Linked DNA regions of Rhinolophus ferrumequinum. The protein of the gene in region 1 interacts with the protein of each later gene in a pairwise test. Links are inferred from orthologs where the notes say so. Each region holds a gene or a part of one and is shown on either strand. Other genes may lie near its edges.

Evidence for each region. The genes of interacting proteins can lie anywhere in the genome.
Region 2: the proteins of ATP10B (region 1) and TMEM30A interact in a protein complementation assay, tested with the Homo sapiens proteins (2 studies listed by IntAct, with this or other methods). The link is inferred for Rhinolophus ferrumequinum from reciprocal best matches to the Homo sapiens genes ATP10B and TMEM30A.

Annotation. Positions count from the first base shown.
Region 1 is NC_046307.1:30,055,299-30,063,170, forward strand, and holds the start of ATP10B (phospholipid-transporting ATPase VB), read right to left. Parts: upstream 3,008-7,872; 5' UTR 2,792-3,007; intron 1-2,791. UniProt on the Homo sapiens protein: Catalytic component of a P4-ATPase flippase complex, which catalyzes the hydrolysis of ATP coupled to the transport of glucosylceramide (GlcCer) from the outer to the inner leaflet of lysosome membranes.
Region 2 is NC_046286.1:36,111,436-36,118,484, forward strand, and holds the start of TMEM30A (cell cycle control protein 50A), read right to left. Parts: upstream 3,018-7,049; 5' UTR 2,856-3,017; coding exon 2,619-2,855; intron 1-2,618. UniProt on the Homo sapiens protein: Accessory component of a P4-ATPase flippase complex which catalyzes the hydrolysis of ATP coupled to the transport of aminophospholipids from the outer to the inner leaflet of various membranes and ensures the maintenance of asymmetric distribution of phospholipids.

The sequences.
Region 1 (7,872 bases):
ACTGTGTGATTCAGCTATTTGATGCCACATCAGTGTCACCTACGTGGTCTTATCCTATGCTCAGATCATTTTGAGCACTGTCCTGCCACTTACCCTGAGGAGTAACATTGCAGTACATAAAACATCTAGGCGGACTCTCCAGCTCATGGTTCTCTAACTCCGGTAAGCATCAGAACCATCTGGAGGTTTGTGAAAAACATATTTTTAGGTCTTCCTGCGTTCCTGCCTCAGCGTGTTGGGAGTGGGGCCCTAGAATTTGCAGTTCTGACAAGTTCCTGAGTAATGCTGATGTGGCTGGCCCAGGAACCACATTTCGAGAGCTGCCGCTCTGGGTGGTGCTGGGGGAGGAGAAGGTAGAGAACATATGGTGTCATGTGTATGAAAACTTCACCATCAGGCTTGCTAGTGATTGCAGGGACCATGGATTTTTATTTAATCAGGCAAATGAGGTAAAGAAACACTCAACGTATTCTTTTGTGTTCCTGCGTTGTTTCTGGTTGAACCTGGTGAGTTCAAATTAATACGACACCACACCAAGGTTGATGCAACAACCTCGGCTAGAGAGATATAAGTACCTCCTCCCAAAATATCACAGTTTGTTTGCAGGTTGCTAACTACCTGCAAGGTGTCCTGCCTTGGCAGCAGTCGCCAGTGATCAGTCATACCAAAAGCAGAAAATGAGACTCTCTTTTTTCCCTCTAGACATTAAGACATTATAGAATATTTTAAAAAATGCCATGACAGTTAACATTCTCTCCCATCTGGTTCCACCCAATTAATAGTAATAGCAAATAATTATTAAGGCTTCTGTAAGGCAGTCATTGCATTGTACTAGGTGATGACACACATGTTTTCAATGTGAGGATCTGAGAAGCTAAGCAACTTGTCTAATGTTACACAATTACTAAGAAGTAAAACAGGGATTCAAATTCAAGTTCAATCCCAATGTCTTTTTTTTTCGATGAAGCCACACTGCTGCTATTGTTACTACCTCCTTACTCAATCTCTTAATAAACACATATTTCACAGAGAATTAAAAGATGAGGAAAAAGGGCTCCAGATGCTTTAATTGTTAAAAAAAATTACAAAACAACGTCACTGAAACAGAAGAAATTAGTGATATTTAATCAGCAATGAAGACAGAGCTCCCTGGGTTTAAACCAGGATTTAAGAAGGTCTGGCCAAATTTTTATTTTTAGGAGAGTGGGAAAGTGAACAGAACTAGTCTCAGAAATCCAACCTGTTTTAGTTTACTCTTGAGTCAAGGGGATTTTGATTCCCTGTTGATATGGCACGGGCCATTTGGAGAATGAGTGTAATAGAAGAACCAACCCTGGAATGATAGCCATGAGCCTTGGATTCTGGTCGTTGTTTTCTCAGGAACTCATACTTCATTTCTCTGGGTCCCAGTTTCACCCTCTGTGCATCAGGCAGCTACACTAAGCTCCCTTCCAAGCACTGCCTTTGAGGACAGCGGATTCCTTCAAATGGATTTATTAGCACCATATGCCTCAAAACAGTAACTCCCATCTTTTAGCATAAGGAGAATATCGTTTGATTGCAAACTCAGCATGTGGGTTTCAACCTTGAGTCTTTCAAGAGCCTTTTCCTCTATCCATATGTGAGGTTACCCTGCTACATTCTTTGGGGAATACGTGGGGACAACTGGAAAACAGATTCTGAACCCTCCGAGGCACACAAACGACTTAAATCCATATAGATAGAATTTAAGAAATAAATGATCTGATATATTTTTAAAAAGTCATCAATGACAATGAAATGAGTAATTCAGTAGGTGTTATTAGGAGTAATTATAGTAATATCTCAAAGGAAAACAACATCTGTGATTTGCCTGATTAATGGTCTCATGGAACAGTGCATCTGTTAATGGAATAACACTCCTAGCACTCTTGACTGTACGCTTGCAAGAACTGGAAACAGAGAAAGGACGGTAGAATAAGAAAGGAGCAGGGTGCCAGACCGACTATGGGAGGTCAAGTCCCTCCCCAGAATTTCTAATTCCCCTCTCGTTACCTGAACCAAAATTATACAGCAAATTCCAAGGGCAAATGAGTTCTACCAGGTACATGAACTCTTGCAGGGTAAACAACTAGCTGCTCAGGGATTAAAAAAAAAAAATAATAACTTTTCACCTTGTGGTTGGAGGTGTTTTGCCCCAGCTTTAACAACGTGCCACAGTAGGATGGTAATAAAGGTGCTCAGTAGGGACCTATCTGCATGAATAGGGCTTTTTCTGGAGCGAGTAGTTGATACACGGGGAGTAAACATATTTTTGTTTAAACATCAGTTTTCTCTGTCGAACTCAAAGGAAAACCAAGCATCCCACCAACAGTTGACAACTACTACAATGTGCCAGCTTCAGTTTAGAGGTGAAATTGGGAAGCCGTATCGTGATCTCACGCTCTTCCTCAAAGCTCGAGTTTCTTTCTGCTTTGAGAACAAGTTACTAACTCCACCTGCTCCCTCAGGCTACATTGGATGGATGTGGGATATATTATTTGTCATAAAACGTATTCAGGTACATTTGGGCTGTAAGCTCTATTGCATAGGGAAGTAGCATTTGTCATCAGCTTATCCTAATGAAATCAAATGAAAGAAGACAACAACATTCTGCTGCAAAGGGAATGTGGATCTCACGCCCAGCAAGCCAAATGAAATTTCAAATGTGGTATAAAGAAAAGTAGTTATATCCTGGGCCTGATTAAAACAGTGACCATTGGAGATGATCCCGTCCCCATTATATGGCGGGGGCTAGGTGACTTTTACTTACCCCAGCAAAGCTGACGTCCCTCCTGAGCTGGCTCCATTAGAAGCTACGGGAAACAGGGCTTGGAAGTGGCACTATTTCTCTTGTACAGTGTGGCTAAGATATCATTTCTCTTTCCCATGGCATTTTTCATTTCTCTGATTATATCTGATGGTGTCAAGGCAAGGCCTTAAGCTAACACTCCCTTGGAAACTCAGAGAAGAAGATGGCTTGGAAAGAAATAACTGCGACCAGGAAAGGAAAAGGGAAAAATAAGCCGCCTCATTTGGGCTACGAGAGAAAGAGAAGAATAGCATGACTGTGAGTGTGAGCCCCAGTCCCAGACAGTGAAGGCAGTGTTCTCGGCTTGGCTGTGTGTGTACACAGCATGATAACTGTTAGACAGGGTTCTTGCAGAAATTTCTACTTTCTGTGACTCAATGAGCTGGCGATATCAAAATTCATAAGTGATTTTCTTCTCTACACATGGTACAAAAATGACTTTGTCCATTCGCCTTTGGCCATCCATGCAATTAAGTGTGAGACAATTATAACCTTGTAGGTCTCCTTGGGGGCCTGGAATACAATTCAGTTGTTGGATTGCAAGGGCACTTAAGAAAGAAAGAACAGACTGTCGGCAGTGACTTTCGTAGGCATGCTGGTGAGGAATTAGCCCGCCACGATTTAGAAGTCTCATTTTGCAGTAGTCATAGCCCTTACTGATTACTCTTCGATTATACAAAATAAGGAAAATGGGACCAATGTATTATATGTACAGATTATGGGCATGCTTCAAACTGACAGAAAATCGGAATGATTTATGGGCTTATTTTGAGAGCTTTAATTCTCACCCTAAAAGGAAATTTTCATGTATAATCTTTTACTGAGTTGCCTACAACTCCGTTAATTGAGGAAAATGTCATGAGCCAGTTGTCCTATTGATGGATAATTATTGGTGGGTCCGTAAATAAAAGAGAAGATAGAACAAGGAACAAGCTATTTTGAGGGTAACAAAAGGGGGATATTACCAAACTTGGGAATAAAATGAGGTAAAAAGAAATGAATATAATACCTAAATGCATGAAAATCTTTCCATAGGATCTTGGTTGGTTGCTTGGGTAATTGTGACCTTACGAGTACTGTTGAATCCTGTTAGATTGCTAAGAAGAAACATAGACATAGAACATATTTTAGAAAAGATGAAACACCCACACCTTAAATCTGTAACTGTAAGACAGGAGCTAGGAATTTTTAAGAACATGAAGTTTGCCTAACACTTAGGCCTGTCTGGGATTTTTTTAAAAAGGGACTCGGCATTTCACGTTTCTCCATTTGCTAAAGAGAAGAGTGCTGTGCAAGTGCTTGTTCCATTTCCTCCCTTTTCTCAGAGTCTCATGCTTTCTTGGCACACGCATGACCTAGACTCACAGATTTGGTCAACCAGAGAATGGTAGTGCCCGAAGGTAGAGGTCGTTTAGCACAGCTTCCTGGTGCCATGGCTGAGGACACTGAAGCTCAAAAAAGTTAATGGCTACATTAAGTCCACACAGGAAGTTGGTAGCAGAGATGGGACCACAAACCACATTTCTTCACTGCTAAGGCCAGTGCTCTTTCCCTCACCGCTTCCGCAACAAAGAGAGAGGCACACCCAATTTAGGGACAAGAGGGTCTAGAATATCTCTTGGGCTGCCATGCTGACCAATGGATATGGAGTTATCAAAGCATAGGTCCATTTTCCAAGCTGCTTAGACACGTTAAATACTAACAGGCACGTGGCAAGTTATGTGTATCATGAAGTTGGATTTAATGCCACTCTCTGGCTAATTCAAACCCTAACAGCAAATAATAGATAAGAAATACTATGTTCAGTTTTTGTTAGAGAGGTCATATTTCTTTTGTCTGACTGCTGGAATTCCCTAATAAATCATGTTAGAAGACCGTACGTCACAGAAATTTACGTAATTCCCTTTTCCAGCAGTCAACTTTCTTATACTTAAGTGAACTGAGCATTTTATATGCATTTCTATTTCTCATTGACTGCATCACGTTTTTCATATATGACTTTCAGACAGTTTGTCAGGTTTGGCCTTTAATATTCTTGCTGCCCAAACCTGCCAATTAAAGAAGAACTTGTTGGCAAAGCTTTTGCCCCCATCTCCTACCACCAGCACCATACTACCAGGATGAACTATATAAGCTTAAGACCAATTATTTATGATAAGCTGTGTAAATATTCCTAGTGGTAATTGTTATAACTATTATTGAACACTTACTTCATGCCAAGCACTGTTAAGCACTCCACATAATCTGACTCGTTTAATTCTCCTATAACCTTAACAGATTGACATAATTATTCCCATAAAAAGAAAAAATACAGGGTCATAAAATTCTTCAAACAAACTGAAATATAACAGAAGAGGTTGTGGGGGAAAATATTCTTATGGTGATTTTGATAAGTCAATGCTTATTTGTCTTAATTTTAGTCATGAGAAAGGTAAGTGTCTAGATGAATCTTCACTAAACAGGCAAAATATTGTCTTAAGTACTTGCAGTGGAAAGTAACTTGAAGCCCTTTAGCTGGTTAACCAGATGCAAATACTGGCATAAGATTGATGAGCAAGAGTTGGAAGAAGTGTTGAACAAATAAAAACACGAGGGGTTGGTAACATGAGAGATTAGCCATAAAACTAGCTCTTTCAGGACTGAGGCAAGGGATGGACAGTTGCCCAGGGCACCAAACATCTCTGGAAAGATGATGGAATACATTTCATTTATCACACTTTTCTTAGGAAGAAAACAGTGTAAGCAGCTCCAGAAGAGGTGAGAGACCCCCCAAGGGGTATGCATGAGTACTCCTAGATCAGTGGTTCTCGACAAGGGATGAGCTCCCCCCCACCCCATCCCCAACACACACACACACACACACACACACACACACACACACACACACACACTGGTGCTTTCGGCAATATCTGGAGATATCTTTGATTGTCAGACTGGGTTGGGGGTGCTACTGGCTTCTAGTGGGTAGAGTCCCAGGATGCTGCTAAACATCCTGCATGGCACAGGACATCCTCTCACCACTAAGAATTATCTGACCCAAATGTCAATAGTGCTAAGGTTGAGAAACCTTGCCTTAGATGTTTCCTGAACTTCCAAGGTGATGAGTTAGGATAATTGTAGGACTAATTCATGGAGTAAACAAGGTGAGTTTGGTGAGTTTTGTCTACCCTTCCCCAACCTCAGCTTGGCTCTTTCTTCACATAAAGGTTGAGCAAACTTTTGAAGATGGGCAATTTGAGGGAGTGTGAAGTCTTAGTCTGGGCCTCCACTAATTAATTTGATTTCTGAAGTAATTTTTGAAAACAAAATAATGATGAGGAACCTTTCTACTACATGGTATTGAAAGGGCAGGGACAGGCTCAGTTGAAAAATAGCAACCAGAGAATACCTCAGTGGATGATAACCTTTGTCATCAAGTAATCTATGCGATGTGTAGTGTCCCTAAACCAGATGTTGCACAGAGGTGATAATCTGCCGAAATGTTTTGTTTGGCCTGCCCAGACTTAAATTTTACATTAGTTGGCAGCATTAAACATTGGGATACTTCTCATAATAATCTTTTTTTGTGGAACAAGCCAAAGAACTGACAACCACAGGTACACATTCCTACAAGTCAAGAGTTGGCTTCTGCTGAATAATGGCCACTCACTTTGGATAGGGCACCAGTCTCTCCACTCCCCATCCGGACTGTTTCAGCAGGTTACATTACCTGCCTGATAGCTGCAGCAATCTCAGTTTGCAACTTGGGTCTTAGATTATACTTATACTCCTTTGACTATACTCTTTAGGGTGACACTGTGTAATGATAATGTGTTTTGTAATATGATATGTAGTCTTGCCTAGATTAATTTTCATCAAATCAATGCTGTACCATCTTTTGGCCATTTTTGTTTCCATCGTAGTTTTGACTTTTCCATCACTTTCTTTCCTCCAATTTTTCTGGTTAACCAAAAGGTGACTAAATAGGGAAGAATAATTCAACGACTATGAACTGGGATATAAAGTCACCACAATTCCCTTCCTACCCACCTTTTTTTTAGTTTACTAACTTCTGATATATAAAACATGAATAAAAATATCCCTGGCAGAAATATTTTGACCATGATGTAAGGAAACTTGGCAGGGATAATTTACTGAGATCTGCAGAAAATAAGTTTCAGAATAAAATACTGAATACTGATGTTGAAAGTACGTATAGACAAAATTCAAATAGGTATTTTATAGCGCCGGTCAAGTCATTAGGAGGTTACAAAAGGAGCTTACAATTCTTTGCATAACAATTTTTTTTAAATCAGCGAGCGCATGAGGAGGAACAGATTAGGTAGCTTTGATATTCATAAAGTAAGGCCAAGTTTATACTTTATGCTGTGCAACGGAAGACGTTTACAATGATTTAGGCCTAATAAAGATAGCTATTGAGGTGTTTCTTATATTGATAAAGGTCAGGTTAAATAATCATTACACTTGTGTAGAATAGTGATTCTTGATCCTTTTGGAATCAGGGTTCCTTTACACTTTTGACAATTATTTAGGATCCTAATGAATTTATGTTTATGTGTGTTCTATCCACCTATACGTACTGTATTAGAGACTTAGAACTAGAATATTTTAAAGTAATTATTCATTTCTTTAAAAAGAATATATTCATTACATGTTCATATGTCACATATTTTTATGAAAAATAACTATATTTTTCAAAAGAAAAAATCAGTGAGAATTTTTCTAAAGCTCTTCAGTATTTGGATTAGTAGAAGACAGCTGGTTTCTCATATTTACTCTCTCTGTTGTACCATTGTTCTGTTTGAAATTTATGAAGAAAAATCCAGTTTTCATGCATAGTTGGAAAAAGGAGGATTTGTAGATCCTGTGAAAGAGTTTGGGGACTGTGATGGGTAGTTTTTATGTGCCAACTTGGCTAGGCTCCAGTCCCCAGTTGTTCAATCGTGCACAAATCTAGGTGTTGCTGAGAAGGTATTTTGTAGGTGTGATTAGAGTCCAAAATCAATGGGTTTCAAATAGGAGCGATTATGCTGGATAATCTG
Region 2 (7,049 bases), on another chromosome or scaffold:
TAGAGTCAGACAGCATCTTAGAGATCATCTACAGATGACCTTTTGGTTCTTCTAGTAAAAAAAAAAAGCATTCAAAAATATGCCTAAGATCACAACAGAGGTGGGACTTCTACTCTAATGCCTTGACTTTTAACTTCAGTGTCCTTTTAACCAGAACAAGCTGCAGCAGGCTCTTTAGGCCACTTGAAATCAGAAGCATATACATGAGAACTAAAGAAATTTCCACTTTACCAACTTCTTAGTGTGAAGAACATTATTTTATTTCAAAACCCAAAAGTTTTAAAGAAAGTAAATATTTATTTTCATAGTATAGTAAATATTAACAGGTGAGTTTTGATACTACCCATCATATAAAATTCCAAATTATTGCTACTTTCACCTCAGTATCTTGAGAAGTTGAAATAAGATGATCAAATTTTTGATGTTAAATTATTTTCTTCTACTTAACTACTAACACTGCAGTAAGAATCTAATGTAGTGTGAAAGCTTAAGGTTGAGAATAAAGACATCTGGTTTGGGTTTCTGCCTCAATTTTACAATATTCTTCTAGCTTACTAGTAAGTATCAATCTCTCTGGCGCCATTTCTCATCTCCTGATTAGGAATCATCATACCTATTTATCGTACAAACTTAATACCAGGAATCTTAGCTATATTGTTTCTAATTCTCACATTTTAAAAGATAGGCATGGGCCGGCCAGTGGCTCAGGCGGAGCTGGTTAGAGCTCCGTGCTCCTAACTCCGAAGGCTGCCGGTTCGATTCCCACACAGGCCAGTAGGCTCTCAACCACAAGGTTGCCGGTTCAATTCCTCGAGTCCCACAAGGGATGGTGGGCTCTGCCCCCTGCAACTAAGATTGAACATGGCACCTTGAGCTGAGCTGCCGCTGAGCTCCCTAATGGCTCAGTTGGTTGGAGCGTGTCCTCTCAACCACAAGGTTGCTGGTTCGACTCCCGCAAGGGATGGTGGGCTGTGCCCCCTGCAACTAGCAACGGCAACTGGACCTGGAGCTGAGCTGCGCCCTCCACAACTGAGACTGAAAGAAAAGCTGACCGGCACCCTCCACAACTAAGATTGAAAGGACAACAACCTTGACTTGGAAAAAAGTCCTGGAAGTACACACTGTTCCCCAATAAAGTCCTGTTCCCCTTCCCCAATTAAAAAAAAAAAAAAAAATCTTAAAAAAAAAATAAAAGATAGGCATTATTTACGTATTTTACAGGTAAGAAAACTGAGGCTCAGAGAGATTAAGTTTTCCAAGAAACTGAGCTAGTTAGTGGCAAAGCTGGAATTTAAACCTAGCTCTGCGTGACCCCAACCTAGAGCCCACGGTACTTGCAATACATCACTTTACTCATATGTGAGATCCTAGTGTGGCTGGGAGAACAAGTACTACATTTGAAGAACTATTAGGGAGACACAAAAGATAAAGCAAATAAAAATACATGCTGAAAAAACATACTGTGACACTTTCTCTAGTTATTACACTGAAAACTAATTTTTAGTAAAAGATTTAAAAGCAATGATATTAGTGTTATTAACACAGAAGTGAGCACTGTAAAAAATTAAAAAATATATATTTTACTTTGAAAAGTAACACTGTAAGTTAAACTGGAAACAGGTATCTTTACACCTATACCTGTAGTCAAAATAAACTTACTCTGAAAGCCCCATTAAATCACATGCAGACGCTTAAAAGGACTTAATAGGACTAGAGGGAAAAATGATGTACTCTGAGAAAACAGAAGAAATCAAGAGACCTTGGTACCAGTTACTGCCCTTTCAAACAGATAAAAATACCCTCAGATATTCAGAAAAAGAGCAGATCTTTATCGTGTCTTCTATCAGTAAACTGTTCTGTAAACAATGTACAACTTATTCTCTCCGTGTGGTCACTGACTTTTTTTAAAAAAAGTTTAAAATCTAGGGGGAAAAAGAAATCGAGGGTGAATGCAGGGCATGGTTATTAATAAACACAGCCTAAAAGCAAAACCGGAATAGAAGATTCAAGTTACCTTTTTACCTATATCATACCCTACAACTAAAAACATCAATTAACTCAAAATAAAAGGTAACTGTGCAAACTTCGGTCATTTGTCCTAACATGTGACCTGGTAAGATACGACAACTTCTTTAGATAAAAATCACCAATACTTCTACGACTCTCGGTCCTTTCCCCAACAATGGCCAAGGTGTTAATCTGCGTTCTAGGAAGTCCCAACACAGATAATGACACTGACCACGTCCCTTCTCCCGCAGTAATATCTAGATATAACTTCTTTTTTTTCCACCTCCTTTTCTCTCTTCTCTCTCTCTCTTAACCTCCGTTGGAGGTAAAAATCTCCAGAGCCACACAAACCGCCTATTAAGGGGCGTTCTTTATCTGACCCACCCTCTGTATTAAACATTCATTTCGTCTCTAACCATGTAAATCGCGAGAGGAAGCTCGGACAAAACTGCAAATTCAGAAAGCCCGCAGAAAGAAGACACTGAGGAAGAGAGAAAGCGTGAGGGAGGTGAAGCCCGGAGGTCAACCTCCAGAGAGCTGAGGAAGAAGTGGGCAGGCCAGGACCCAGCGCCCAAGCGGCGCCAATTGCCACCGCCGCTCCCTCCCCTCACCTCGATCTCGCGGATGTTGTTTGAGGTGACGAAGATGCCAATGCCAATGGGGATGAATATGAGGCCGATGATGAAGAAGGTAGGTAGCACCGTGCCAGCCGTCAGGATGGGCTGCCAAGCCGGCAACCTTTGCTGTTTGAAGGCCGTATTATCCGGCCTCCGGTTCTTAGCGGTGCCCCCAGGAGCACACGCGGGCCCACCATCTACTTCATCCTTCGCGTTATAGTTCATCGCCATTGCCCCCCGGGCGCGGCTCCGCGACGCGCGCAAGTGGACCGCCCAGGGGACCCGTCTGCTGACCCTGAAAGAAGACGCGCAGGCGTCGCTGCCGCCGCCACCTCTAAAGTAAAGGCGGAAGAGGCGGGACACCCTTCCGCAGACGGGCGCTGACCGGAAGTTGGAGTCGGCTGGGGACGCCCCAGGGAGGGGGAGGAGGGAGGAAACTGAGGGACACGGGGAGGGACATAAGAGGGAGGGAAAAGGCGGACGCACGAGGGTCATCTGCCCTGTGACGACAAAGGGTCAAACCCCGGAGCGTGAAGCTACGACAGCGCATGCGCAGGCTTTGAGGGCGAAAAGGGCGGGGCGCCTGCGCGGCAGGCGCGTCTGCGCTCCACTTGCCTAAAGTTCTGTTAGCTCACACCTGTCTGCGGCTCCGGTTATCCTGGTGACGGCCGATCTGAGGCTCAGGTCTGATCCGCCCGGCCCGGACTACCCTAGTTAGCCCTGGAGCTGCTGACAAAGATGTCTTTCTAGTGGCTTCGGCGCCAGACAGGTTTTTGTTTTACCGCGTAGCCCTCTCTGAAGGGAATCGTAGTATTTAAAAGACCACACCAAAGTTGCTTGAACCTGGTATGATTGTAGTATTTCCTTGGGTTATAAAACCGCGAGTTTCTCTAATTAAAGTAAATCGTCATTCAAGGTACAAATACAAACATTAAGTGAGATGCGTGATGGGTGACCCTTTGGTCCCAAAGTAAAAATAAATACGTGACTTGCCCAAAGTAAACATAAATACGTGACTTGGTTAACCCTATTATTTTGACGCTACTTGAGCTATTATCACTTGTCTATGTTCCATTAATGGTCTTCATGTTACATTTTACCTTCTTTTCTGTGTCGTTTCTTTTTTGTGCAGATATAAGAAGTCTTGTAATTAGCTGTAGCTCTTTATTTTACAGATTACAAGAAAAAAGCTTCACATTATGGCATTACTATAAAATGAGATACTATGCAGACACTTTAAAACTGCCAAGTATTTAATGACCGAAGGAAATATTCATGATATAAAAAGTAAGTAAATCTTGATACCAAGGTAGTATTGGTATATAGTATCAAGCCTACCTAAGAAGTAAATAGTGGTAATCTCCATTGACCAGATGGAGAATGTTTTTTCTCTACTTCTTTGCACTTTTTCTGCATTTTCCAAAGTTTCTACAATAAGCATATATTTGTAAAAAAAATTGTTTTGATTATGTACAATCCACATTATATTGGCATCTTTGAAATCCAGACCAGAGAGTAAGTCACATCATCTGAAAACAAATACCCAAAGTTTATTTTCTTTTTCATAAGATTTTATTGGGGAAGGGGAACAGGACTTTATTGGGGAACAGTGTGTACTTCCAGGACTTTTTTCCAAGTCAAGTTGTTGTCCTTTCAATCTTAGTTGTGGAGGGTGTCATTCAGCTTCAAGTTGTTGTCCTTTCAGTCTTAGTTGTGGAGGGCACAGCTCAGCTCCAGTTGCCCTTACTAGTTGCAGGGGGCACAACCCACCATCCCTTGCCGGAGTCGAACTGGCAACCTTATGGTTGAGAGGATGCGCTCCAACCAACTGAGCCACCGGGGAGCTCAGGGGAGCTCACCTCAAAGTGCGGTGTTCAATCTTAGTTGCAGAGGGCAGAGCCCAAGATCCCTTGCGGGACTCAAGGAATTGAACTGGCAACCTTGTGGTTGAGAGCCCGCTGGCCCATGTGGGAATTGAACCGGCAGCCTTCAGAGTTAGGAGCATGAAGCTCTAACCGCCTGAGCCACCGGGCTGGCCCCGAGTTTATTTTCTTTTAGGCTTTGTCGGAAGTCATACCTTTTGGAAGTAATCCAAGAAAAGGGAAACGAAAAGAGTGCTTGGGCCTTGTAATTTACAATTAAATGTATTTTCAAAATGACTACAAGTCTCAAGATGTGAGCCAATCGAATATTAATCTGGTAGATAACTAACTTGCTTGGTTTTGTTCTTACATGACATCCTTATCTCTCAAATTCTTAGTACTGGTAATATAAGTAGGTCTATATTTTGTTTTGAGCCATGTAAGTTTATTTTTAAATGGAAAATATTCTATGTTAGGAATTATATTTCAAATGGAAAGTTATATCTATGTAAGAATATTTTCAAATGGAAAATATTCATCTATCACAGTTAATGGAGAAGGTATGGGCTTCTTTTATTTTGCTAAATTCTATTGGTTAGTAAAAATGTATATAACAGTATTGGGCATAATGCAAAAGTATAAAGATTGAGGCAAGTTTTATCTCCCCATTTCTGCCTGTATCATCAAACCCACTAAATGTGATAGTTCCTTAAGTGATTTGCTATTCCAACATTCTATGTAAGTATGGAGTTATTTTGCCTTCCAGTTGTTTTTTTTTTTTTTTAACTGATCTAAGTGATTGTGATATATTTATCTGCTTTCTTTTTCTTTTTGTTCATAGGAAAGATTAACTTCTTGTTTCTTTTTTCTTAGTAGGAATTCCATTTTGACTGAAACATAGACTTTCCGAACAAGCTTGAATCTAAAGCTTTCTTAGATTCTTATCTAAAACTTAATTTTCAGATGAGAGCCAAATGGATGAAATGACGTTTCAAAATCTCTTGATGTCCTTCCAATTCCTTTCCCTCTACTGTACTCTGCCATCACAACATGCTGCTTTACCCAGTAACATTTTTTTCACATCCACATCATTAGCTTGAGGACTCAGAATTTTATGATTTCATTGGTCATACATTGTTTTATGATAGTTCTTAGGTATTTTTTCATTTAATCTTATGAAGTAGGAATTTTAAAAGGGAAATGTTCAGTATTTCTGGGGCAACAAAAGAGAGTGGTTGTTCTCACAATGGATTTCCACCATATGCATTTTTAAACTGTGGTTGCTAGGAGTGACATGTGCTCACGCGTGTGCTGATGACACATTTAGATAACATTTGTATTGTTTAAATGATTCTTCATTCACTGATTCCTGTTTTTAAAAAAATGTGCTTAATTACATTGATTAATGCTGACTACCAGGTCAATATAGTAAGTGTGCAATGAATGCCTGAGCCTAATAGGGTTTCCAAGCGGGAATTCTCACCCGTTCTCAGGAATTTTTTTCACTTTCCTGTTCGCGAATCCCGAGAAAAGTTGGTTGGGAAATTGGGAAAATCGGCTCCTTGAACCCAGGTGGTTGGTAATATCAGCCGTCACTTTCTGGAAATGATTCATCGTGGAGAACAGAAAACAGTTTATATCTCGGGATTCTGGAATGGGAAAGCAAAAAAAAAAATCCTGAGAACAGGCGGGAATTCCCACCTGGAAACCCTACTAAATATGAAAGTAAATCCAAAATAATAGGCAGATACAAACCCAACAATCTGAAAAGATGTAGATAAATAACTTTAGAGGAGAAGTTTCATAACAAATTTTAATTTTTTTAGTTCAGTTGCTGTTTTCAAGCTATTGAACGAGGTAACCAGAAACATTGGGGGGAAAAATGAATAACTGAGTAACTTAAGGAATTAAGAAGAGGAAACTGAAACTGCTCTTTTTACTGTTTGGCCAACATGGCACATAGATTTGCTTATTAGACTCCTTTGAGTATTTGGTGCTGCTTTAGCTCTCTAGCTTCTAACCATATTCAAACCATTTCATTTATATGTGTAGTTTAATAATGTTTAGAAAATTGAAGAGAGCTGAGAAATGTGCCATAGTTTTTACCAGCATGAATTTCAGAGAAAATTCTTAGGGACTGGAAATGGTTTGAATTGTTTTCAGTGACTGGGTAATATTTTGCTTGTTTCTTTCTAGACGGGAAAAAAAAAATTCTATTTAGTTGATCGTGGCAGCTTACTTAGAGAAGTTTGAGGGGATTAAATAATATTCATTTTTAATTGAGGCGATATTTAAGAAAAGAGTGACATAGAATTTGTATAATAAATTTATTTTCTTGTACTTATTACATCAGAGATTAATTCAAACTGATTTTGAAAAATTCTTTTAAAGTTGACCTTTTCCTGATTTTCATGTATACGTATTTATTAAACTTTTACTTAGGCACTTAAGAAAATCCTTTTGTTCTGACATTGAGAGAGTGATAAGCCTGAGATCATTGGTGTTGTGATGAAATATTTTGCAACTTTATGAATGACCACAGTCAGTAATCAGAAATGCAAGT